3 linked regions of the Schizosaccharomyces pombe genome follow. The protein of the gene in region 3 purifies or fractionates together with the protein of the main gene of each other region. This does not show direct contact. Each region holds a gene or a part of one and is shown on either strand. Other genes may lie near its edges. The genes, in order: kap109, elp4 and ekc1.

The links.
Region 1: the proteins of ekc1 (region 3) and kap109 purify together in Schizosaccharomyces pombe (affinity purification with mass spectrometry, with the first as the bait; one study listed by BioGRID). This does not show direct contact.
Region 2: the proteins of ekc1 (region 3) and elp4 purify together in Schizosaccharomyces pombe (affinity purification with mass spectrometry, with the first as the bait; one study listed by BioGRID). This does not show direct contact.

Annotation. Positions count from the first base shown.
Region 1 is NC_003423.3:1,309,088-1,317,801, reverse strand, and holds kap109 (karyopherin/importin beta family nuclear export signal receptor Kap109), read right to left. Parts: upstream 4,596-8,714; 5' UTR 4,572-4,595; coding exon 4,514-4,571; intron 4,465-4,513; coding exon 1,619-4,464; 3' UTR 1,427-1,618; downstream 1-1,426. Other genes in the region: ips1 (GIDA family tRNA uridine 5-carboxymethylaminomethyl modification enzyme), read left to right, coding at 1-1,426; SWI/SNF complex subunit Sol1, read left to right, coding at 6,078-8,675. UniProt on the Schizosaccharomyces pombe protein: Export receptor for importin alpha. Mediates importin-alpha re-export from the nucleus to the cytoplasm after import substrates have been released into the nucleoplasm.
Region 2 is NC_003421.2:1,461,541-1,468,525, forward strand, and holds elp4 (elongator complex subunit Elp4), read right to left. Parts: upstream 2,851-6,985; 5' UTR 2,799-2,850; coding exon 1,713-2,798; 3' UTR 1,446-1,712; downstream 1-1,445. Other genes in the region: nucleoside diphosphatase Ynd1, read right to left, coding at 1-687; translation initiation factor eIF2B alpha subunit Gcn3, read right to left, coding at 3,233-3,521, 3,618-4,060, 4,116-4,255, 4,313-4,466; CLRC ubiquitin ligase complex WD repeat protein Rik1, read left to right, coding at 6,634-6,985. UniProt on the Schizosaccharomyces pombe protein: Component of the elongator complex, a multiprotein complex which is required for multiple tRNA modifications, including mcm5U (5-methoxycarbonylmethyl uridine), mcm5s2U (5-methoxycarbonylmethyl-2-thiouridine), and ncm5U (5-carbamoylmethyl uridine).
Region 3 is NC_003421.2:1,625,169-1,634,125, forward strand, and holds ekc1 (protein phosphatase regulatory subunit Ekc1), read right to left. Parts: upstream 4,207-8,957; 5' UTR 3,953-4,206; coding exon 1,451-3,952; intron 1,394-1,450; coding exon 1,379-1,393; 3' UTR 819-1,378; downstream 1-818. Other genes in the region: tRNA dihydrouridine synthase Dus4, read left to right, coding at 1-514; wtf element Wtf14, read left to right, coding at 5,270-5,399, 5,471-5,695, 5,745-5,996, 6,037-6,099, 6,163-6,182; wtf element Wtf15, read left to right, coding at 7,657-7,795, 8,001-8,258, 8,306-8,542, 8,582-8,638, 8,698-8,774. UniProt on the Schizosaccharomyces pombe protein: Has a role in chromosome segregation. May provide a dynamic connection between kinetochore microtubules and kinetochore chromatin.

The sequences.
Region 1 (8,714 bases), on a different chromosome or scaffold from region 3:
CGAGCGACCTTCATTGCCTTTGAGTAAATGTCTTAGCAATTTAGGTTTTAAAATGGGTCGACTAAAAACAGGTACACCTCCCAGATTGAGCTCTCCCATAAATATATCAAAAATGACAGAGCAGACAGGTGACGAAATTCCAGAAACATTTAGTTTTTTAAATTTGGAAAGGGATTTTTCACCGGCATTGCCACAACGTTCTTGCTACAGAACTTATACAACTGAATTGACGCATGAAATTGTTAGGAAAAATCTCGCTTTTGCTCCCCATATGCTTGCTGGTGATATTCTTTCTCCAAGGTATTGCCCGTCATTGGAAGCCAAGGTTACAAGATTCCCTCACAAAGCAAGACATCTTATTTGGCTGGAACCGGAAGGATTGGACCCCAATTCTTGGTGGTATCCCAATGGTCTCAGTAACTCAATGCCTGAAGAAATTCAGCACAATATAATAAGGTCTATTCCAGGCCTGGAGAATTGTAATATTGTGAGACCAGCTTATGGAGTTATGTATGATTATGTTATCCCCACCCAACTAAAGGCAACACTGGAAACAAAAAAAATTCAGGGTTTGTACTTGGCCGGTCAAATAAATGGAACGACGGGTTATGAAGAAGCAGCAGCGCAAGGTATCTTAGCTGGCTTAAATGCAGGTTTAAGTGCTCTTGGTCGTGAGCCAGTAGACATACCGAGAAATACAGCTTTGCTTGGAGTAATGGTCGATGATCTTATTACAAAAGGTGTGAAAGAACCTTATAGGGTGTTCACTTCGAGAAGCGAGTATAGGTTAACTACACGTGCTGATAATGCTGATTTAAGATTGACTCCATTAGCTCAAAGTATAGGTTTATTGGACGACCAAACTCATTGGGAAAGCTTTCAAAGAACTAAATCTTTGTTAGATTTTTCCAATAAAATCGCCAAGGAGTTCATTTTAAGTCCTCAGCAATGGTCAAAGCTAGGAATGCCGATTCCTAATGACGGGAAATATAGAAGTGCTTGGGATCTGTTGAGCTTCACAAATTTGGATCTTTTTTGTGTTATTTCGTGCATTCCTAAACTAAAGGACATTCCCAAAAGGGTACTACAACGTTTAATAATTGAGGGAAAGTATACTTATTATATAAAGCGTCAAGGTACTCAAAATAAACAACTCAATTGTAGAGATGAATCTACAGTAATACCCTCAGATTTTGATTTTGATACTTTACATTCTGTTTCGGCTGAAGAATTAATGCTGCTGAAGACGATTCGTCCAGCTACAATTGGTCAACTGAAACGCATTCAAGGGATTAAACCAGGAACTATTATTCGACTACTTCGCCATACATATTACAACCCAGCAAAAGAGGCATGGTTACGAAAGGTATATATGCCAATGTATGATATGCATTCGAGCGAAGAAAACCAATCTACAAATTTATAACTCTCGACTTAATTTTCACTATATAATAGGATAAAATAATGATATGAATCTCATTTAAAAAATATTTGACAACCAAATACAATTTTTAATAAATGCTTCTCTATGAAAACATTTATTTTCTAAATTTACACCCAAATTTTTAAACAAAAACATCAAGAAAGTTGATTTCTGATGATTTTCATTTCATAAATATTAGATCACGTAACCATATGATTGAAGCACGCTTTGACCGTCGCCAGGAAGATGCGTGCTAATGATTTGAGATAAACGTCCACCCATATTTCTGTTAGCAAGATTCATTTCCGTAGCACAATACTGCTTAAGGTCAGTAATTTGAGGGAATGGATCAACCCTCTTTCCGCCAGTAGTAGCCAATCTGGAAAAGGAAGCTTGGAATGACATCGAATCAGCATCGATTTCGTCCATAAACAATTCTTCATCTGCATCTGTTTGAGCTTGTTCAATAGGCATTTCGAATAATTTGAGGATACAAGTTAATAATGGGATAATAAGATTCTCATAAATTGCGTCTGGGGCGAGTACTAGATCACAAGTAAGAAGTCGCAGTAATCCAAGAGCACTGATTTTCCTATCTAATGGAAGCGCCAATTTTTGTGCTTGAGGAAGAATAATTGAAGTCATCAATTGGCCAAATACTCCAGACTGGACTGCATCAACACCTTGGATCAAATTATCTGGGCCGCAAGTACCCGTTTGCTCAGAAGCAACAAAAAAGAAGAAAATCGTGCATCGCAGAACGAAACGCTCAGTCCTCGAGTTTTTTAATCTGCTTAACAGCAAAAAGAATATGTGGTTGATATAAGGCGCAAGTATGTTAGCATTGAAAACTGTGAAAACTCGGTCCAAGAGATCAAACCCAAAATGATCATTAACCTTTGAAGAAATCAATTTTTGGAAAATTCCCAAAACCGGTTCAACAAACTTATTGGAAATAAATATCTGAGGACCACGAAATATCATTGCCCGTAATAGGCGAACTAAGGCAGGTATATTACCCTTTGAATCCCATAAAGCTGGAGATAAACACGGCTGTATGAGATTGACAACAAAGTCAGGAAGAGGTTCATTGCCACTAGCTTCAACTAATTGAGATAGCAGTTGTAGGACATACGGAATAAACTCAGTAACATCTTCTATAAGCACATTTTGAAAGACTGGAAGTAGGGCATTTTCCAGTTGAGAGACGGTTTGGGGACCAGATTTAGATAAACTACGAATAAGTGCACCAATAGATTCGAAGAGATAGTGGTTAAATTTTGGATTGGAAGGATTCTTGCTAACCTCTTCCGTAATTTTTGTGAGGTGCTGAAGAAGAAGGCTAGCAGCTGGAAGAATGGCTTCTTGAGACATAATAATAATTCGCATTACTGCTTTCATTAGATAATCATTTTCGGCAAGTTTTTGTGGTGTGGATGCAGATTCCACAATTAGGAAAAGTTGATTTAGAGCGGGTAATATGTGTGGAGCAATTAGTAAACTTGTAAAGATATGAACATGATTATGACGAACAGTCAGCAACTGATCTAATGCTATTGCAGCGTATGTGTAAACGACAAAGCTGGGCATTTCCAAAAAGCGTAAAATTGTAGGGAAAATGTCAATAAGCTGTTGGGAATTTAGCTGGTTGCGAAATGTAAATACATATTTAATATCCTCGGCAAGAACCATGGGATGAATGACGCCAGCAGGTTGTAAAAGATCCGGCTTAATATTATTCTCGAAAAAAGCAACAACGTCTACCATCAAATTAATAGATGTAACGCCGAGTCTTGTGGATTGACCCTTTATAGCAATAGCCGAAAAGAGCTGAAGCGCTACGTATTTTTTATTCCATTCAAGAGAAGGATTTGTTGAGAATTGTTGAAGATTAGCATTGATGTGAGTTGAGACTACACTCGTAATTTTTTGATCAAAGTGATCCAAAAGTCCACGAACAAGAACGATTGCGGATCTGGCGCGAGAATCACTGTTCGAACCTTCAAGATCACGGCGGACATATTCTAAAGGATCGTCTTCAAATAATTCTTCATCAGATTCCCGCAAACATATATTAGGAAGAACGACGAGTTCAATGAATTGTTGTAAAACTTGGTCTTGCTGGAAAAACTCGGCATGCTTGCGAATTCTAATGACGGATGTCAAAAATGCCATAGCCTTACCAACTAAACCATCGTATTTTTCATCAGGAGTCAAGGTTGTCAAAAGTGTCCATGTTACGTTGACGAAGTCATACAACATGGTAAACACCTCTTCGTATCGAAGGGTATATAGCTCGACGATTTCACAAATACTTGCTTTAACTTTAATAAGGACATTTGTCTCTCCTTCGTCACCCTCCAAGCTGGGGTTAGTGTAGGTAAAGTAGTTTAAGAAGGCGGTCATGAATTCGCTCATATGATCTTCAAAGAATTCCGGAATGTCTTGGCAATTCAAATCATAAAAAAGTTTACACTCCAAAAGGATAACCTGAAATAAACTGTTAAGAGACTCTGCATCTTGTGGACCGTTACGCAATAAGTTGTTGGTTTGCACGAAGAGAGCGAGAAATGGTTCGCAAAAACGATCCAACACATATTTGATCTCCAAAAAAAGTGCATCGCTACGGAATAAAGGTCTCCAGCGCTTAAAAATCGCATGTGCAGTAGAAAGTACAGCAATATTCGTGTTCATGTCAACAGCAGACAATTTAGATATCAGATCGGGGAGAAGAGTGTCCCACCGATCAGGGAAATCAAAGTTGGCAATATAACCAATTACTTCACCTAGCTGAACTTGAATAATGGTAGTACTTTTCAGCATCAAGTTGATTATTTCGCGTTTGATCAATTCTGCCACCTCATCGCTGATACGAATAGAAGCACCTTCCTCAGAATCCCAATGTTTTTTAATGTAATTTTTGAAATACAATGAAGCGGCCAGCTTAATATTGATGTCTACTGTATCCTCAGCGACAATATTGAGGAGTTTTAGTGCAAAAGAACTATCTTGTAATTCCCATACTTTCAGTGCTTCCTCAGCTATATCAGTTAGTAAATTTGCTTTATCCACTCTGTTGGGGTATCTTACCACTTTTGGAAGTCGTAGGGTTTAATGTTCTCGCAAGAAGAGTTGGAATGTCATCCATAGTTTTCCTACAGGGATTGTGGTTAAGGGCAGATTTTGAAGGACACCGACGTAACTAGAACAATTTCTCTAACATCGTTATAGAGAATTTTTAATTCCGGTTTTATTTATTAAATAATTTTCTCTTAAGTTTGATATAGTTAACATCTTTTAATTAGTTTGTTTGCTTCTTTTTCAGGCTTGTTAATGTAATACTTTTCTTCGCTTAATTTTTGTTTTTTTTTCTATTAAAACACCCTAATATACCAATATTTGTAAATAAATAGTTGGACTATACTTGATAAATTACTTAAAAAAGGAATTAAAACTAATAAAATCTATAATTCATTATCAATAATTCAAGGGTTCACATTTTAATTATCAGCTTGTAAATACCTAATTTCCGAATTACTTGGTTTTAGTTTGCAAGCTCATTAAACATTTTATGAACCGTCAGAATAGAAATCGCTTTATACGTGGACTTGAAAGTTGTGTTAGTTGACTTTTGTTTCAAATCTAATTCTTGTTTATGCCATCAAATTCTACATGTGCAATATAGCATCTCCATCTTTATCTCAAATACTACAAACCTTTTTTTATTGTAGTATTTAGTTTTTTTCCTTCTTGAATCGGATATTCCTTTTGCGAGTTGACTTGAAACCATAGATTTGCAAAAGTAAATAATTAAGTCATAAACATATATATTTTACACGTACAAGCCCTTGTCCATAGAGTTCAACAACCTAAATCCAATTGCTTGATAATAGAAATTACCATATTCTACTATCTTGTTTCATTCATCAATAGGTTTACACATATGAAAGCACGTTTATAGAAAACAATGAAATTTATAAAATGACATTGCGTCGAGTCTTATGTAGCCAGAAAGAAAGAAGGAAAAATAATGAATAAAAAATAAAAAAAAGGTTAGACCAGATAAATTTGAATTAATGTGTCAATTTTGATTGCTCCTTTCAAAAAAAAAAAAAAAAAAAAAAGAAAGAAAAGGAGGATAACGGGATCTCGAATATGTTAACTCATATGCTTTTACTATTTTAAAAAAAAAAAAAATAATTTATTAAAAAAATATCTGTTTCCGCAAGAAGAAGATGTTGTACTCGTGATTGTTTACAGTTTCGCCAAGTCTACTAACAGAGCAAGTTAATAAATATTGTTTCTATTACAAGAGGAATAAGATATTATTTTGTTTTTAAAATTTTAGATACCTGACTAATCGATAAATGCTTCCCAATGCTAACAATTGTCATTGACTTGGAAATAAGAGACACTGCAAAGGCAAGAAATCACGTTTGCGAGATTTAAAGGAATGAGTGTAAAGATTTTTTAGGAATTTAAGCATTTTCTGAAACACACAGATTAGGTTCTTAAAGGCAGCACTAAACAACTCGTTATATGCACTTCGTCTGCTTTTCAAGCACTTTCAGCTGCCAAGCGCCTTAGACGTTAATATATTGAAACGTGTATTTTAAGGTCCCTTTACTCTTTGTTTGATTTAGTATGAGGAATCATGAATAATCAAGGGTTTGTTCCTGCGAGTGATTATCCAACCGCAGTATCATATCCCACGCAAGGTCAAAGTTATAATACTCAGGAAGAACAACCTGCGTATCCTCAACGCTTTTCGACAAGCCAAGGGATGTATGCAGCAGAATATGGAAATGCAAACATGATGAATACTTCCGAGAATGAGCCTAACAATTTGGCTCATTCACAGCCCTTCCGACAATCTCCATCAACTCAACGTAATTTGCCAAATCAATCATTTGATTTCGCCTCTAACGGTGCATGGAATGGCTCTGGATCTGTGAAATACTCTAGTCCCATGATGCCTTCAAGTCGGATCCCGTTTCAACAAGAAAAAGAGGCTGCAATGCAGCAGCAACAACAACAGCAACAGCAGCAACAACTTTATCAACGACAAATGCAAAGCAGAGAGGCCTTACTCTCTCAACAAATTCCTCCTAATCAAATTGGCATCAATGCCCACCCAGCTGTAAGACAAACTCCTCAACCTGCACCTTCCCCAAATACTCCCTCTGGTAATGCTAATCAACTAACGCCTGCTTATGCTGCTAGTTTTGACAAATTCATGGTTAGCCTTATTTCTTTTATGGAAAAGCGGGGGACGCCAATCAAATCTTATCCTCAAATAAATAATACGCCTATTAATTTAATGATGCTGTACGCCTTGGTTATGCGTGCCGGTGGATCTCGACAAGTCTCAGCTCATAATTTTTGGCCAAAAATTTCTGCTTCCTTGGGGTTTCCATCTCCTGATGCTATTTCCCTTCTAATTCAATATTACAATTCCTATCTGCTTCCATATGAAGAAGCATGGCTTGCTGCTCAACAGCAACAAAAATCACTTCAACAAGCAAAAGCTAATCATTCTGCGAATGTTCAAAGCAGACCAAAAAACTATCCACAAAAGCCGGTCCAAACCACCCCAGAAGCTGTACATGCCAATGGTTCTATGCATGGATCACTTCACTCAAAGTCACCCTCCCCAGCATTCACCGCTAATCGTTTCTCTCCAGCTGCTCCTACCACAGTTAGTTCTGAAAGAAATGCTCCACCATACCCTTCTGCTCCGACTCGACCCACTCCGCCCACCGTTCAAACTTCTTCTTCGGCAGCTCCTGTTGATTCTGCCGAACCCGTTGCTTATCAACCGATAAAAAAGCCCATCGATCCTATGTTGGGTTATCCCTTGAATGTCGCGGCCACGTATAGGCTCGATGAATCTTTGCTTCGGCTTCAGATGCCTTCAATCGTAGATCTGGGGACTGTAAACATTCAAGCCTTGTGCATGAGCCTGCAATCTACTTTGGAAAAAGAAATAACGTATGCAATGAACGTTTTACTTATATTAACAAATGATCAAAAATGGATGTTTCCGTTAAGTGAGTGCCAGGATGTAGTTGATGCGTTGATTGACGTTGCAACTCAGTGCCTTGATAATCTGCTATCTGTTCTTCCTAATGAGGATTTAATGGAAATCGCCGATAAACGTCCTTCTTATAGACAACTTCTTTACAATTGTTGCGTAGAGATATCGCAGTTCTCCAGAGAAGACTTTTCAAATTCACTAAGCGAAAACAAAACAAAAGATAGCATCAATGCTATTGATGTTCATAATTCGGAGCAAAATTTGTTAGCTGTTTTCGTTATTTTTAGAAATCTCTCTCACTTTGAGGCCAACCAAAACGTTTTGGTACAAAATCCAGATTTTTTTCCTCTACTCATTCGTGTAGTCAAAAGTCTTAATTTTCATGCCACTTCCCTTCTACGTTCATCAAGAAATACCTTGGATTTGCATAAAGATGTATTAATCGTACTTTGTCAACTTTCTCAAAATTTCATTCTACCGAATGTCGACGTTGCTCGTCACGTTTTACTATTTATTTTGTCTTTTTCTCCATTTAACAGAAAGAAGAGTAAAACTATTTTAAATGACACCCTTCCAACCTCTATACCTAGTTACACACCTGCTACCCATCCCTATGCTGGTCCCGCCATTAATGCCTATGCCAAATTACTAGCCAAAGATGCTAACAACAAGACAAACTTTCAAGCTATTTTTGATAACAATCCAAAATTTTTAGACTCCCTTTTTCTACTTCTTGCTTCTGTTGTCCCAAAATTTAACCGCCACTGCCTTAAAATATGCGAGCGAAGGTTACCCTTATTGCAGCAGTCATTTTTTTGTTTAGCAGCTACCGTTTCCTATGTTAAACAATCGGAACAAGCGGCAAATTGGTGTAATATAGGCGAGGGATTTTTTGTTTCCATGTTACGCCTACTCATACTATTATCAGGTCATCCTTCCCTTAATCCACCATCACGTGTAGCATCGCAGTATCCTACTACGAATCCTTTTCGTTATGTGATTCAGAGTGGCATATCTACGGTGCGTCGACTTTTGAGCTTAGTGGAAGCTGGAAATATTTCATTATCTTCTTTCCCCAAAAGTGAAACTCTCCTCGCTGTTTTGCTGGCTCCTACAACAGAAACCTCGTTTCTAAAAGAGATCTCAAATTTATTGGATCGAACTGGGGACAGTGATGCGTCTTTAGAAAATACGGATGATAAATCTGGCATTTAATTTGTAGATAATTTTCCAAACGTTTAATATTTTTGTCTT
Region 2 (6,985 bases), 160 kb from region 3:
CCTGCGGTAAGCTTCATTAGCGCCAAAACCGAGCCAGGTAGTAACAAACAAAGGATATTCCAATTGCTGACCATTTTGTAGTCCTATGTGAACGGTCGAAATACTATCCTTGTAATTTTTGAGCTGAGATGGGGGAAGTTCAAAAGCAATTTGCACACTCGCACCGCCCATATCTAAAAAACCAACCGTTGACGTATCTTTTTCTTCAAGTGTCTTAAGGAGATAGTTCGTAGCTAGCCAACCATACATACCTTCAGCTTTGCCATCAATTACACGGATTGAATTTGAGCAATTAGGTATGTCGAAATCGTAATTCTTTTTAATATATCTACAAGCATGCGAAAGTATTTTGTTTTGGGCATCAACGCCCAGTAAACGCATACCAGCTGTAGCACTTAGGAAAACCGGAGTTTCTTTATGTACATCTTTGGGAATAGCATGAGCAGCAAAATCCAGGAGTTCTTTCAAATGCTTCTTCCCTACATGCTTAGGGTTATTGGCAAAGGAAGAAATTCCAGGTTGAACCTTTAAAGACCATTTACCACCATCCCCAATCCCTGTCTCGATTAATGGTAATTTTTTTACTTTATCACTTAAAGAGGAATCGGTATCATAGTCCCAAGAATAAATTAGAAGTCTTGAACCACTAGATCCAGCGTCGATGAAAATTCCATACTTTCGAACCATTTTTAGCCACCTGCACTTATTTTTCTTAACAAAATGTCTCTTTGTCTATAAGACTGGATATTAAATAACTTCGACTCTGAAGATGGATATTTTCATCAAACCAGCCCAATTTGCCTTTTGTTTGTTGATGGTTGAAAGCGCACTATGGCGATGTGAACAATTTCAATATGGCATATGTTCCCAAGATATACATCAATAAAATTCAGTTAAATATATGTATCTGTCTTATCAATGAACCTCTATTTAACTTAATTGAAACATTGAATGAACGTTTGTAGTGGATTATGAACATTCAACTCAATGTTTAACAACTAGCGAATGTATAGGTAGCACATTTTTAGGTGGTAAATCACTATATAGTGAACTCTGTCAAAATGCAAAAAAAGTAAATTGAGACGAATTTAAGGACCCATTCATACGGACTATTGGAATAATCACATTAATTTTGGTCACTTGACTTAAAAGATAATGCGACTAGAATTAAAGAGAAAAATCGAATACGCGAAAACTTTTTGATTTGTCTCTTTAATTTGCTTAGATGTCAAATACTGTTAGTACCAACAGATTGACAATGTTTTGATAACAATCATCAACAATTTACTTCAGAACTGTTTTAATAGAGAAAATAATTGTATCCTTCAAATTTCAACGGTTTAACACTGTTTAAGATTTAAAATGTCATTTACTTACAAGTATTTCATGCACTTTGCTTTAAGATCACAGTAACGGTTCTTCGTAGAGATATTTGACGGCTTTCAGTTCGCATTCTATATTAACTTGTGTTTTAAAGTTTTGATTGAGAGAACGTTTATCCCATTTGACGAACATTTAGATAATTGATCAGTTATCTAGACGGGAGAAATGAAAAATATTTAAACTCGTATGAACAATAAATAACACAAATGCAATGCATCCAAAAAAAATTATAAAATCCATTTACAAACCATAACCATATCACATAACACGAAAACGAGTAGAATTTTAATCCAATTCAATACTCAGAAACTTAGAGGTTTTTTAATTGTCTAAAAATCCAAAGATTTAACAGGCTGTTTTTGAGGATTCGTGTTTGAAATCTTCGTATCCTTTTGCTCATCATCCAGTGGAGGAAGGACCCATGGTTCAATGGTAAATCTTCTTTTCGATACAGTAAATGAGAGGTCTCCAGCTTCATTAGAGTTTGCATGATTGGTAAATGGAAGTGCTAAGGGAAGCTTATGGATACGGAAAAGTCCTAATGGTTGTGTAACTAAACCGTTAACAGTTTCTTTGACCGGGAAAGGATGCAAAGAGAATACGGCGGATGCAAGGTTTTCTAGCCAAAAAATTTGCTCGCAATCTCTTGAAAACAAAGTAGAAGGAACTGAACACATACATATCAAGTGCACCGAAGTAGTGCATTTGATGAGCGATGAAAGTGTGTGAATAAATCTTATGAAATGCTGCGGATGAGTAGCACGGATAGAATAGAAGGCTGGGGACAAAATGGATGGAAGAACTAACCTGCATACCGTACCTGGAGTCAGAGTAGATAAGAATCTCGTTAGACTTTCAATGACAGGGGCGTAAGGATTAGACCCTGTTTCCAAAGGGAATGGAGAAACAGCGTATTTCATATCGCTTTTCACTATCAAATTCTTTGACAAATCAAAGGAGTGAGTATAGCCAGGAGGAATCATATCAAGGGTCGGTGCCTTGGTTTTGGAGACTTGTTCATACCTCCAGGCAATTTTCATTCTTTCTTGCTGGGGATTTTTAGAGGGAGGAGAAGAATGATTATCCTCTCCAGCTGAATTTTCGTTTTTATTAGGCCGGTCGCTGTCGCCTGGAAGTTGACGAAACCACATCTCTCCAATAGATGGACCAAGCCAAATAACATGGTCCTGTTTAAGGCCTTCCGCTGCAAAAAATTTAAGTAGCACAGAAGCATAATCCATCGAATCTTCCTCTATAACCAGCAAACTTTTCATTGGAATGCCGCCAGACAAATAGTAGTCAAAAGAAGAACTCCCAGAGCTTGTAATCCATCTAGCATCCTTTGAAGATAGTCTAACGCCTGTCGGCAAGTTTGTTGGTGCTATTTGAGGTGCTGCTTTCCTTTTGAACGACATCAATACTTATTTCGATTGGTGTACGTGGAATAGCAAATTGGATGGAAAGGTTAACGCGACGCAAATTTGCAGCACACATTTAAGCATCATCAGTCAGAAAACAAAGAAATTCAGCGTTGCGATTGAGAAAATAAAAAATTGTTGACTAAAGTTAATCATTCAATAAAAATACCTTTTAGATAAATTTTGTTGAACTAATAATAAAATTTCACTAGTGGGCGCATTGAAACAAAAATAATATTGTAATACTACAAAATAACATAGAAAATGTTACGTCGTACAGTCAATTAGCATGATCGGAAAATGTATTACTGTTGTATTTTTGAAGATTACTTTCAATCCGAATCTAGTTGGACAAGACTTATGAGAAATTTAAGTCAACTCAAAGTACAATCTATTCATATTTTATTTTTAAGATCAGGAGAATCTGATTGCTAAAGATACAATTTAATTAGCTCTTCGCTTACCCCACTCTTCGAATCAATGATCCCTAAATCGGTAATGAGACCTGAGACAAATTCGGGTGGTGTAACATCCAAAGTAGGATTATTTCGAATTTGTTCTTCATTCATGATCAGCTCGTTATGAATAGCATCTGATGGAGTTGGAATTGGTTCAGGTTCAGGATGAACAGTTTCAGGAGATGGATCATCAAATTCCAGAATAGGACGACTAAAGGGAATATCATATTGAGAAAGGGGAAACATACGCACGAATTTATGACTAAAAAACGTTAGTACAAATTTTAAAATTAACAGGGAAATGGAGAGATCATAGGGAAAAATAATTGTAAGCTGAATGGATTCAACGTTTACGTACCTTTCTGCAACTGCGTAAAAGGGCTTATGTGCATGTTTGGCAAAAACGGCAAGTTGGAAAGTACCGATTTGATTAATGAGTCCTCCGTTTTCGACAACACCTTCTGCGCCAACCAAGACCAAATCTACACGGTTCATAGTAAAGCTTACAGCGGAATCCAAAACCATGCAAGTAGGAATACAAGCATTTTTTAATGTTCTCGTCATTAGACAGCCTGAGCCGCTAGGTCTTGATTCTGTGACAAAAACTTTGAAACGAACGTGACGCTTGGCAGCAGCCAAAAGAACAGCCGCAACACCGCGTGAAAACCCATGGGTAAGAATAACACTACCATCTCGAATAAGAGGGTAACCTAAATGTGCAATTCTTTGTCGACAAGCACGAGCACGCTGAATAAAGAGTTTTCCATTTTCTACCAAGTGACGTTTGCATTGCTCAAAATCCTAAAGCCGTGGAGAATTAGTAAAGAAAAGAAAACTACTTTGCATCAACACATACCCCGACATCGTGTAGTGATCGAGTGACAAACCGTTGGAAAATGTCACAACCAGCTGAAAGCGAAATGTTGTTTTGAACGCCTTCCTTCAGCGTATTTGAGCCATTTTGTAAAATGTCCATAAATTCTGAAATTGTCTTGGCTAATAGAAAAACATCAGTAAATTCATTTCTCACATGAGTACTACAAATTAACATACCTTGAGAGCGCGACAAAAGCTGGACTAAAGCCTCAATGGCGGCTACAGGCATCGTGATTTCTGGATCATCTTGCAAAAATTTTTTGTAAACCTGGACGATGTCAAATTCTCCTTGAGAATGTCGAACGATTCCCGAAGAATCCGATTCCACCATATTCGCAGATGCTAGACGCTCTTGCTTAGTAGCAACATCTTTTCCATACTTTAAGGATATCCAACAAAATCAAATAACGGGCAATGCCTTTTTGTATTAAATTGTAAGCTACGCAATTTGGTATCTGATTTAAGGATACGTAGAACTGCGGTGAGTTTTCCTTGTGATCTATTATATTACAATACACAGGTTGTATAAGTAGCAACTGAGTATAGGTATTGTATTAACTGAGTTATAATGTTACCTATCACTAATATAGCTCATAACTGAACTGAGGAACGAGGTTCAGCAGTAGCTCTATTTATATTATTCAGATAATATAGATCTTAATAGATTATCATTAAGATCAATCTCAATATCGTATCATACATGGTACGATATATAATTAGAACATGTGACATATAGTGATACGCAACGTAGATGATGCGATGTCGAGATTGATATTGATAATACTATATTAACAGATAGATTATTTGGATAGAATCGATAGAGATACAACTAAACCTCATTTCGCAGTTCAGTTATAAGTGATAGGTGACATTATAACCTAAATAGTACAATACCAGTACTTAGTCATTACTTATATAACCCGGCTATTATAATATAATGGATCATATGCAAAATTCACCAGTTTTTCGTATCGTTAAAGCAGATACCAAACTGCGTAGCTGACATTATACGGCGTTTTGGATACTGATCTACAGATATGTTCCTATAGATATTTATGTAGGTGATTTGAATGGTATTTACATATAAATTGGTTTATTAAATAGCTTATATTTAATTAAAGCTAAATATTGAGAATAATTTTAATATCATATTCTTGACTGAGTACATCTGAGGATAATCATGAAATTCTTCCTCGGTGATCAGTAAACAATGCTTGACTGTTGATTTCCAATATGTAACGTTCAACGATACTTATCATTGTATAGATAGTGAATTTGTAGTATAATTTACTATGTTCCTAATAGTTGAGCGTATCATGAACGAAATATGTCAAAACGCTTCCATTTTAAAAAAAAAGGAGTACTGATGAAAGCAGTAATTGGATTTGGTAAAAAGTAATATAGAAAGTTTTTTAAAAAACTATTTTATGTTTAAGAGACCTTTCAAAAGTTCATGACCATTTCTACGAGAAACTAATCTTTAGTCCAACCTTCGTAAATCTCGCTTATATTAAGCTTGATTTTACTTCGGTATTTATGGATGACGCGAACACTAAACTGGTATAGAAAAAACGCTATTACTTTCAGCATCTAAAGAAAATCATTTATGATAATTTCTATGCTTTCAATTATATCTAAATATTTACATGCTCAATCATTCAAAGCGATGCTACAAAAATATTATGTTTTAGTTGTCGACTCGAATTTCAGTAAAATCCTAACTTTATTGCTAGACATCCGTAGGTTTTCATTTATGCTATAAATCTGTGAATCACCTCGTGATCGGCAAGTTGTTAAAATAATCTTTTAAGTAACTCTAATACCATGCACTATAGTAAAGAAGGTATATATTTCTTTGCGTGCCTAGTTCTTGTTTTCAATAGCAATAGTCGTTATCTCCCATAGCTTTTAATTCTGCTCATCGATGAGAGTAACATATTCCAATATCTTCTCTACATTATCAAATCGTTTTGCAATTATAAAAATATCAATAGCTTTCGATTTCCCCCAATATGGCTAATGCTAAAATTTATAACATTGATGTAGAATTTGGCTTAGTTAAGATGCAAGTTGAAAATGTCTTATGTTTTATGATTATCAGAAAATGTTTTGTGTAGTATCTGATATTAAAAAATGCATATCAACTTTTACAATAAATTCGCTTGCGCAAAATGTATAGAGACTGCATATCTCGTTTCTTCTCCCTGCGGAGTGCCTGTAACTGGCGTCTTGCACTTTCATTCAAAATCGAAATTTTTTGGTAAGGATTTGATAGAGATTGTCACTTGGTAGCATATTTTTTCTATCTTGAATTCCTTTTTCTAGGCTTTTGTGGCTCTTGGCCGTCCACTCTTTATTTTTGTATTCAACTGTTTTTTAATCACATAAGTCTAGTCATAATCTTTTGAACCAACTCAAAGCTTCTTTTTTTTATTTTTTTCTTTGTTAAAAAAAGTCTTTATTCCTTTTATTATATCAGTTTATGGATTTCATCGTGTATGGCTTTATGTGTTCATTCCTTCTGGGCAACGGCGGTAGACACAGCGACTTCATGTCATTTTATATCATCTGAAAACTGCTTAGTTTTATTACAAGCCTTAAAAATTAATATTTATCTCTGTAGTGAGGTTCATGGCTTACAATTCTTTACCTCTATCCCTTTATTTTCTACGGTGAAACATATACGCCCATATCGCCCTCCAGGATTAGATAGAGACTATTTATTTGTAGTTCTCAATGATGATACTTATTTTTCGATTTATTGGGACGAGGATTATCAAAAAGTGATCGTCGACCATCCTCCAGTTCGCTATCGAGTTACATTTCCTTGGAATCGCAACGCGAAAAGCT
Region 3 (8,957 bases):
AAATAAAACTCGGCACCTGATGCAAGTCATTGAAAAATCTGGAGCTGATATAATTACTGTTCATGGTCGCACTCGGCAAGATCGCTCTTCATTCCCTGTCAATTTGGATGCAATTCGAGAAGTTCGCCCATGTGTCCAAATTCCTGTCGTTGCAAATGGTGATGTTAAAAGTCTCCGTAAGGGTCTTGAGATTGCTAAATATACAGAAACCCAAGGCATCATGTCTGCTCGTGGTTTGTTAGAAAACCCTGCGCTTTTCGCTGGATATGAAGAAACGCCTTGGGGCTGCGTGGAGCGATTTCTTTGGTATTCTACATCCTATTCTCTAAATTTCCATTTATTCTATCACCATTTGACTACCATGATGGGGCAAATGACTACTAAGCGTGAAAGAATGACTATACCGAAAGATAGTTTTGCTAGTGTCATGGACTGGCTAGATGAGCATTTCGTTGTTCGGAGACCCGATGAACCCATGTTTGGAGAATCGGTATTGCCTTGTCGCCGCTATTAATCTCAACTCATTGTTTGTTTATTAGTTGGCATTGTAAATATGAAGTGATTTCTGTAATCAATTTATGCAGGGATCAATCGATACAATTACTTCAATTTGCCAACGTTTTATAGTTATTGTTTTTTTTAGGTGTTTTAGAAGTCTATGGTTTATCATTGTATTTTATCTGTTGTTCTTTACCAGAATTAGAATCCCCCGACCTTGTTCATTACTACTTTACATTTTTAGTCATACTCATTTGTTACACTTTTCACAATTCCCTTCCGTCTTTATCTCTTGAATATTATGAATTCTATTACACAGTACAATCAACGCTATCTACATTACTTTATTAAGAGAAATTGTACTCTTGAAACAGCTTGCGAAACTGATATCTCGATAATTAAAAAATGCGTTTTTTCAACAACGGCATTTCCTTGTTTTATCAATTGTTTGTCTTATCTCCACCATGGCATAGCAGAATTGGTATCAGTAAAAAATATTGATCAATTCATATTTCTGTCAACTGTGTTATAAACCAGATAGCATAACGGACTTAAAATGAAATTGTAGAGATAGAAATAAAATAGAATGAAGAGAAAAACCGATTAAAACGAAGAAGTGAATGCATGACAAAATATTAGTACATTTTCTTTTTAACAGTACGAAGCTAAAATAAAATAGTAGAAACCACAAGGTAAAGATGAAGAAAATGCATCTTAGAGGTTGTTAAAACTTCACGTAGTAACGCATCCTTCAAACTATACTAAATAGTAGTTTCCAGCCTCTAATGCTGTTCAGCAAAGATTTTGAACTCGAACTTCTAGATATTAGTTACAGACGTCTAATCTGCTAAGATTAAAAAATTTAAGAGGAAAATGAGAACTATTTACCATGGTTCTATATGCTGTTAGTAAAATACATATCCATACAAGGATTAGCAAACTTATAACTTACGAGAACCAGACCATCAGAGTACTCCTCTTCTGCAAAACCGCGATCATCGTCAGAACTGTCATTACCATCTTCTTCTTCACTGTCTGAAAAGTCTTCTCGATCTGAACCGTTAATAAAAAAATTAGATCGCGGATACTTGTTTTCATTTCCGCGCGAAACCCATTCAACAACTTCATCGTCGTCATCGTCGTCCTCATCAGAACTACTAAATTGATTGGCGTTGTTATCGGATATTTGCTGAGACATGTACTGAGCAAAATGATCGCGATTGTCTTGATCACTATCGTTAGCTGATTCAAAACTAAGTCGTCGCGACATCTCACGAGACAGCGGGTCTTCATCATTACCATCATCTTCGTCATTAGAAGACGAATTATGCGATAGCTCACGATGAACTTCCACGACATCGTCATCACTGCTATTGCTTTCCAATTCTTGCTCCAGCGCAAACTGCATTTCAGGTAAATTGTTGGCGTCCAACATCTCTCCTTCGTCCATGTCTTCCAAATAGCCCACCATCGAGGGTTCCAAGCCTCCTAATAATTGATTATCACGGTTCCTCGTTTCTACTAACGTCTTATTTACAAAATTTTGCCATTTTTCGTCATTGATAAGATTTAGCAATTCCTGATCAAAGGTAGAAGAATAATGTTCTACAAACTTCACAACTTCGTCAGCAATTATGGTTAGATGACCCATATATCCAGCCCGAAATCCGCTAGGTTTAGCTACCTTTTTATCATTCAATTCTTGGCCGTACACAATCTTTTCAGTGATTTTCCCTTGTTTAAACATATCGACGGCAAGTGCATAGTTTTGATCTTTGTCCATAGGAGCATTTAACACCTGCTGAACAACATCATATACAACGTTATGTAAAAAATTGTTCCAAGGATAATCAAAGAAATGATCAAGAATAGTCGGAATTACATTATTTTGAATAAATTCAATCTTTAGAAAATCGCCAATAACAGGGAGCTTTTTAGCATCCTCAATAACACTTTCCGGAAGGGGTTCGTAAGAAGTATCAGAAGCCGCATCATCGTCCCCATGGTGTAGTGCTTTAGCGGTTTCCATAACGTCCTTGTATTCTTCTTCACTAACGGGTTCAGCCTCGGACATTGGGGAATCAGTAGTAGTCAAATTAAGGTTATCCTTAGTGATTTGCGGAGCACGACCGTGCATATCTTCAGCCCCGTTCATGTCTTCAGTTTCCTTAAAATCTTTAGAATTTTTATCGGAAAAAGTAGAATCATCATCGTCCTCGTCGCTCATGACAAGATCACGTGCACAGCTATTATGGCGGAAAAGATAATCACGAAGATGGTCACGCTGCATTACCATGGCTTCACCATTAGGATCGCTAAGAAGGGACATATTACTACAATGAAGCAACTCGGCGTAAAGTTCACAAATTCGGAAACGTTCAAAACCTAAAGGCTTGATCTTACCAAAACTGGTGGGCATGAGGTCGGACTCGGTGGAAGGTTTAAGGAGGATTTTTTGAAAGACAGGAATTTTTTCGGCGAAAAGACGCAACATGGTCCCAAGGTAAATAGGATCACGGGTAGTAGGAGGATGCGTGTCAAGAGGCATTTGCAAAACGGGTGTAACATCGTAGTCACTGTTGTTCTTACGAATTAGTTCTATTACGATGCTGACGCCATTAATAAGAGAAGTGGCAGAGTGAGGAGCTTTAGAATCGGTCATGTAATCAGTTAGTGTAGTTATTGTTTGTCTGGATACTAGTTCTCGTGAAAGGGAGTTAGGTCCAATAACTCCGGGTTCATTAGAATTGGCAGAAATAGCGATAATTGCTTTTATAACATCAGCAACAGTAAACTGGACGTCGGGATCCACATATGGGCTAAGTAGACGCAGTAAGGATTGTATTAATCCCTGCGAATACAACCAGTCAGCAATTCCAATAGCAGTATTGCAACGATCCATTGAAATGAATTTGAGCAACAGATCCATGATTGCGCTTGTTTCCGCATGACGGAGGATCTTTTCTACAAAGTTATCAATAGATTGGATAAAGGCAACCGTTTCTTCGGTTTTTTTATCCAGAAAATGTTCATTGACCTTTGCAAAGTATGATGCTTGCAATGGGTTTAATGGGCCCTCGCTATCCAAAAAGGACCAAAGTTTCACCATCAATGTCTTATTTTCCACACAAGCCTCACAGATGGACCAAACGTCGCTACTGAGGATTTCACTCGCTATGTAGGAAAGTCTGGTATGTTCCGGCTCTTCATAACCACCATCGGCAGAAGGTATCTCTGTTTCGTCAACCTCCAAAATATAATCAATCAGCTGGCTAAGTACTTCCGGCTTGCAAAGGTATTCTAAAAGTTTGGGGTTGTGGCTTTTACATTCGTCCAAAACCCCATTCTCTTCTAACAACTCCTTTAAATTAATCTCATCTTCCGGTTTATCCAAAATCGCCTCAATGGCGCTTGAGCTTTGAAATCCAAATCCCTGGCCCAATCTCCAAAACATTTCTATCACTTCCTTTAAAATGTATGTAAGTCAAAGCTATGTTTATACTTCCCAAGGCTTAAACGGCGAAGCTCTTAGGTAAAGGCTTCCCCTTTTGCGTTCTTGTTTTACGGCGGTACTCTTGAGCCGTGCCCTTCACTGTATAGATAATCAATGTCTGCGGTTTTAAATATGAGTATCAAAGAGTCTCAATTTTGAAGTTTTTCCTCTATTACTACTTCCAAAACAGACAGTTGCGGTTTTAAGCTGTTGGCGAAGGGCAGATAAGTGTGAATGGTGAATCCTACGTAGTTCGTTCTTCCATATGGAGAGGTGGGGGAAAGCCAATTGTCTCTTTACTGCGGCTTTAGGAAGCGATGTAAAAACATTGGCTATTCTAGTGTAATGCGCAATCAATTATACCGTGGAAATAGCGTGTTGCAATCAAATTTAGGGATATGGTAAACGGTGGTGGGGTTGCTTGATACATATTATATTTTGATACACAGGTAATATGGGTAACAGGTAATGCTGATATTCTTATACAAAGGGGACGTTTGGCAGCTAATCACTGAAAAAGCTCAATACTTAACTGTACTAACGAATTCCAGCTAGGCTCTATCTAGAGTATGTTTATTAATCTAAAACTTTCTTTTGGAAAAATCAGCAAATCTTTTTGTGCTATGTTGTATCATAAGATAGCGGATAGATAACAGAACATGTGATATATAACGATACGGAACGTACTGTATTATTCGATATACTGAAGTTGACATTACAGTAGTTCACCAGTTTTCTGTTAGCGAAATCTATAAGTATCACGTTGTAAATCGGTAGATATCCTTAGCAGATAATTTCACAAAAGAAAAATTTTAGCTTAAAAGTTTTAAAAGAGTATTTTATTTACGGTTATAAAAGCTCCTAAATAGGAGTTAACTTAACTCTCCTATACTGCAGAAGTCAATCCATGGCAAGGACTAATCTGTATCGATAATGCATTTACTGACGATCAATTGACTGTATTATTTTTCGCATTTCCAGATATAAGATTGCTTCAAAGTGTTCGTTATAGCATATAATGTAACTTAGGAATACTGCTAGTCTTCTTAAAATGCGGATGTTAGAAGTAATCTACCTCCTAAATCAGCTTTTTGGTTCCTATTTTTGAATATTCTTTGTTTTAAGCAATTGATTCGAAATTTTTCAATTTTGTAATTCTCTGCTTAGTATAACTTTGTAAGATCTGAAATTGCGATAATTTGAAAGGACCTTGCTTGTTTGTTTACGCAGTTATATCAACCGGCGCATTTTTTGATCAACCTCTTTTTATCGCTCATTATGGAAAACAATCATCATTTGGCTAAGGATTCTTTGGATGAATTGAATCCTAAACGTGGAAAAGGCGAGCACGAAACTCAGGTCTCACAATACACTGTGGTCGAGGAAGCCACTATACCTCAGTCTTTAGGTAAGAAAAATACCCTCGTTGGGAAGAAAAAGAACTTCATATTCAAAAAGATAGCAATTTTAACGTAAAAGTGAAAACTTCCAGACCTGCTGATCATAAAGTGATGGAAGCTTCTAAGGTTGCTGATACTCGTACGGCTTGGTCGACAAAAATTCCAGCAGTACTTCTTCCTGTTTTCGTAATAAATATTGCTTTGTTTAAATATCTCGTGTTTGCAAACTTTTCAACTAAAGATCGGGTGCTATTTGGATTGGGAAATGGTGGAATTAACATATTTTCGATGTGGCTTTTACTCGGTAAGTGGACTATGTGATTACTATCAGTATGCAGCTGCTAATTCTATAGCAACATATGAAACATGGTTCAGGAGTATCAAGGAAGTTATTGTCGCTTGCGGAGCAGGTATAAGATCTTTTCCCCAAAAACGGGGAGTAAATATGCTATATGCTATTCTCAAGTTGACTTTTGTTAATGCATTTGCCATTCCCCTCCTTATGTTTTTTAGAAGTCATTTTGAGCAATGGAGACTGGGATGCCCGTTGGTGGAGCGTGTCATTGGTGTTATGCTAAACGTGGCATATTTTATAATTGAAATTGGTTCGTTCTTCAAAATTCTGATAAATGCTAACTTTACAAGAAAATCCTGGTTTATTCACTAGAGTTTTTAATAAGTACTGTGATTGCTTATTTGCTATTAGGGGTATGCTGCTAAATTCATCAATCTCGATGTTCATTTTCCAATTCGTCTCACTTACCAAACTAGATATCCTAAATAGAAACTAATGAGTTTTGAACAAATGCAATGCTGAGAATGTTATCCGTTATTTTTTGGAAAAGGTTTAATATGCTACATGTGTATTCAAACGATTCTATATTGAAAGAAGCGTTTGTATTTCGATTACTATCTGCTAATAATCTTCCTCTTTAGAATTGTCAAATTTGATAAAACTAATGAGATCATAATAGCGTGAAGCACCCTTGCTTGCGTTATTTCTTTTTAAAAATTTGTCTTAATTGCCAGTCGACACCTTTAAAACATCTTTCGTTGAGTGTTGTAGTTTTTGGACTGTAAAGGAAGACCCTTTGCGGTGATTTAATGTTTTCAAACATTTGCTAAAGGGCTGTTAAAATGTTTACGATATTCAAATGTTTATTTAAAAGAAAGTTTTCTTATTTGTTCATCTATGGGGTTGGCTCCTCATTCGTATAATACGCTGAAAGCACATTAAAGTCTCTGGATATCAGCAGTTTCATATGATTAATTTTCAAAGATCCGGTTTATGATAATCATGAAAGCAACAGAATTCTTTGTTTGTTATGGGAATGTATTTGTTGATGATTACTTTTTTTTCCCTAGTCAAATAGTTCAATAACGGTTGATATACCAATTATTAGACCAACAGACGAAGCTGAAATTCAACAATGGTTAACTCATTCCATTTCGGACCGTATAAACTCCTTTATTAGCTACTAAATTAATTTTTAATTTTGGTCAGTCAATGTGAATAGGATATTTCTTTTTAACTCATTAAGCACACAATGATTTCTTGGTTGTTTACTGAATAGTGCAAAATAAAGTCGTACCTAAAAATATGTTAGAGTTTGCTAATTGATATAAAATGTAAGCTACGCAGTTTGGTATCTGATTTAAGGATACGTAGAGCTGCGGTGAGTTTTCCTTGTGGTCTATTATATTACAATACACAGGTTGTATAAGTAGCAACTGAGTATAGGTATTGTATTAACTGGATTATAATGTTACCTATCACTAATATAGCTCATAACTGAACCTCGTTCCTCAGTTCAGTTGTAACTCTATTTATAATATTTCTAAATAGTTGTTATCAACGGGTATCTATGTATATAGACGAATAGTTACCCGTGATTATCAATAAACGGATCTTAGCTAGTATTCCAACATATGACATATAGTGATACGCAACGTAGTGTATCATAGCGTAGTGTAGTATTGCTGACATAAAATTAATAATAGTATTTTCGTTGCACGTTATAAAAGGAGCAGTGACAAAATGGGTATGTAAGAGGAAATCGCATTTTAGAGATGGGTTTTGAAAGATTTTTTTTTTCTGATACTAGTTGAGAAGCTAAAAGAAACAGTTAGTTCTTTTTTAGAGGTCTATTGATCGCCGCTCTACATTGAATTGTTGATAAAAGAGGTTTTCTTAATAGCTCTTACGTTTGTCGCAATCCCAGCAATTGGTATATTTTTGAGTATATCTTACCTCCATTTAATAAGATGAGCAATAATTATACTTCCTTAAGCAGCTCTTTAGATGAAGAAATGGGATTGAAGGCAGGACATGAAATTGACTTGGAAGGAAGCCCACCTTCAGAGCACAATTCGGAGGAGAAAAGCACATTGCCTTCAAATTCAGGTACGTTATGTTGTTAATATGAAAGAAAACATTATAGTAAAAACTGTATCTTGATGTTATTTAAAAATAACATGTTTGTGATTATTTGGTTACATTCGACTTACTCAAATTTTCGATTCTAAGCGCGGTGAGCTTTTTTTTTCTTTCAAATATAATATAAATTCCTGTTAATGTTTGAAGTTTCAGCATTTACTAATGCATTCAGATATTCTGACGTCCGCTAATCCTGTGTCTCAAGCTTCAGAAACTCCAGATCACAGCATCGAAAGTAATACAGGATCTACGCAATCGCCCACAAGCCATAGTCTACTTCTGAAGTTCTCTTTTTGTATTGTTTATTATTCTTATTTTGCAATTGTTGTGCTTGGTTGCGTGCTTCCTTTTGAGCACACACACACTTTCCTTATAGCTTTTTTGGTTATATTCGGTATAATCTCTGTGATATTGTTTAGCGGCTCAATTTGTAAGCAAATTGTGAGGATGTTATCAGTTCATTCACTAACTCTTCAGACTACTATGAAACTTGGACCAAGACTGTGAAGCACTTTTTGAAAAAAGTGATAAGCCCTTTCAAGAAGGAATACATTGTGTGTGCATTTTTAAAAACTTTTGTTTTCTATGGGCTTTTGAAAACGATTGAACATTTTTTAGTTCTTCTTTCTGGTGATAAATGGGGATGGAAATGCTCAACATTATCTAGCATTCTCACTCCTGTATCATGCATCTCTTTTTGCTTAAATGAATCAGGTTCGTTATTGTAATAATTTAGTTATATTAATAATACAGTACAACTCAGATCATGCAGCACTCATTTGTTCATAAATACCGTGGCATGGATTAAATGTATGTTCTATAAATAATGAGATATTTCTTGCAAAGAATTTTCTATTAACGATATTAAGCTCTTGGTGGCGGAAAAAATGCGTTTGAAAATAACTACAATCAATTGAATGAAACAAGTCCCGAAGACCTAGTTTAGTTTCATTATTGCTTGGTACTGTCAATAGTCGCGAAGCGCTTTTCTCAAAATCTCTTTTCACGAAATATTCAACGCAATGGAGTAACTTTGCAATCATAATGCTTTAATTTGGAAGTTTAAGTATGGTCGATCATTTGCCAACTTTTTGTACTGTATATTTTTATCTCGTTCTTTTGTTATCAT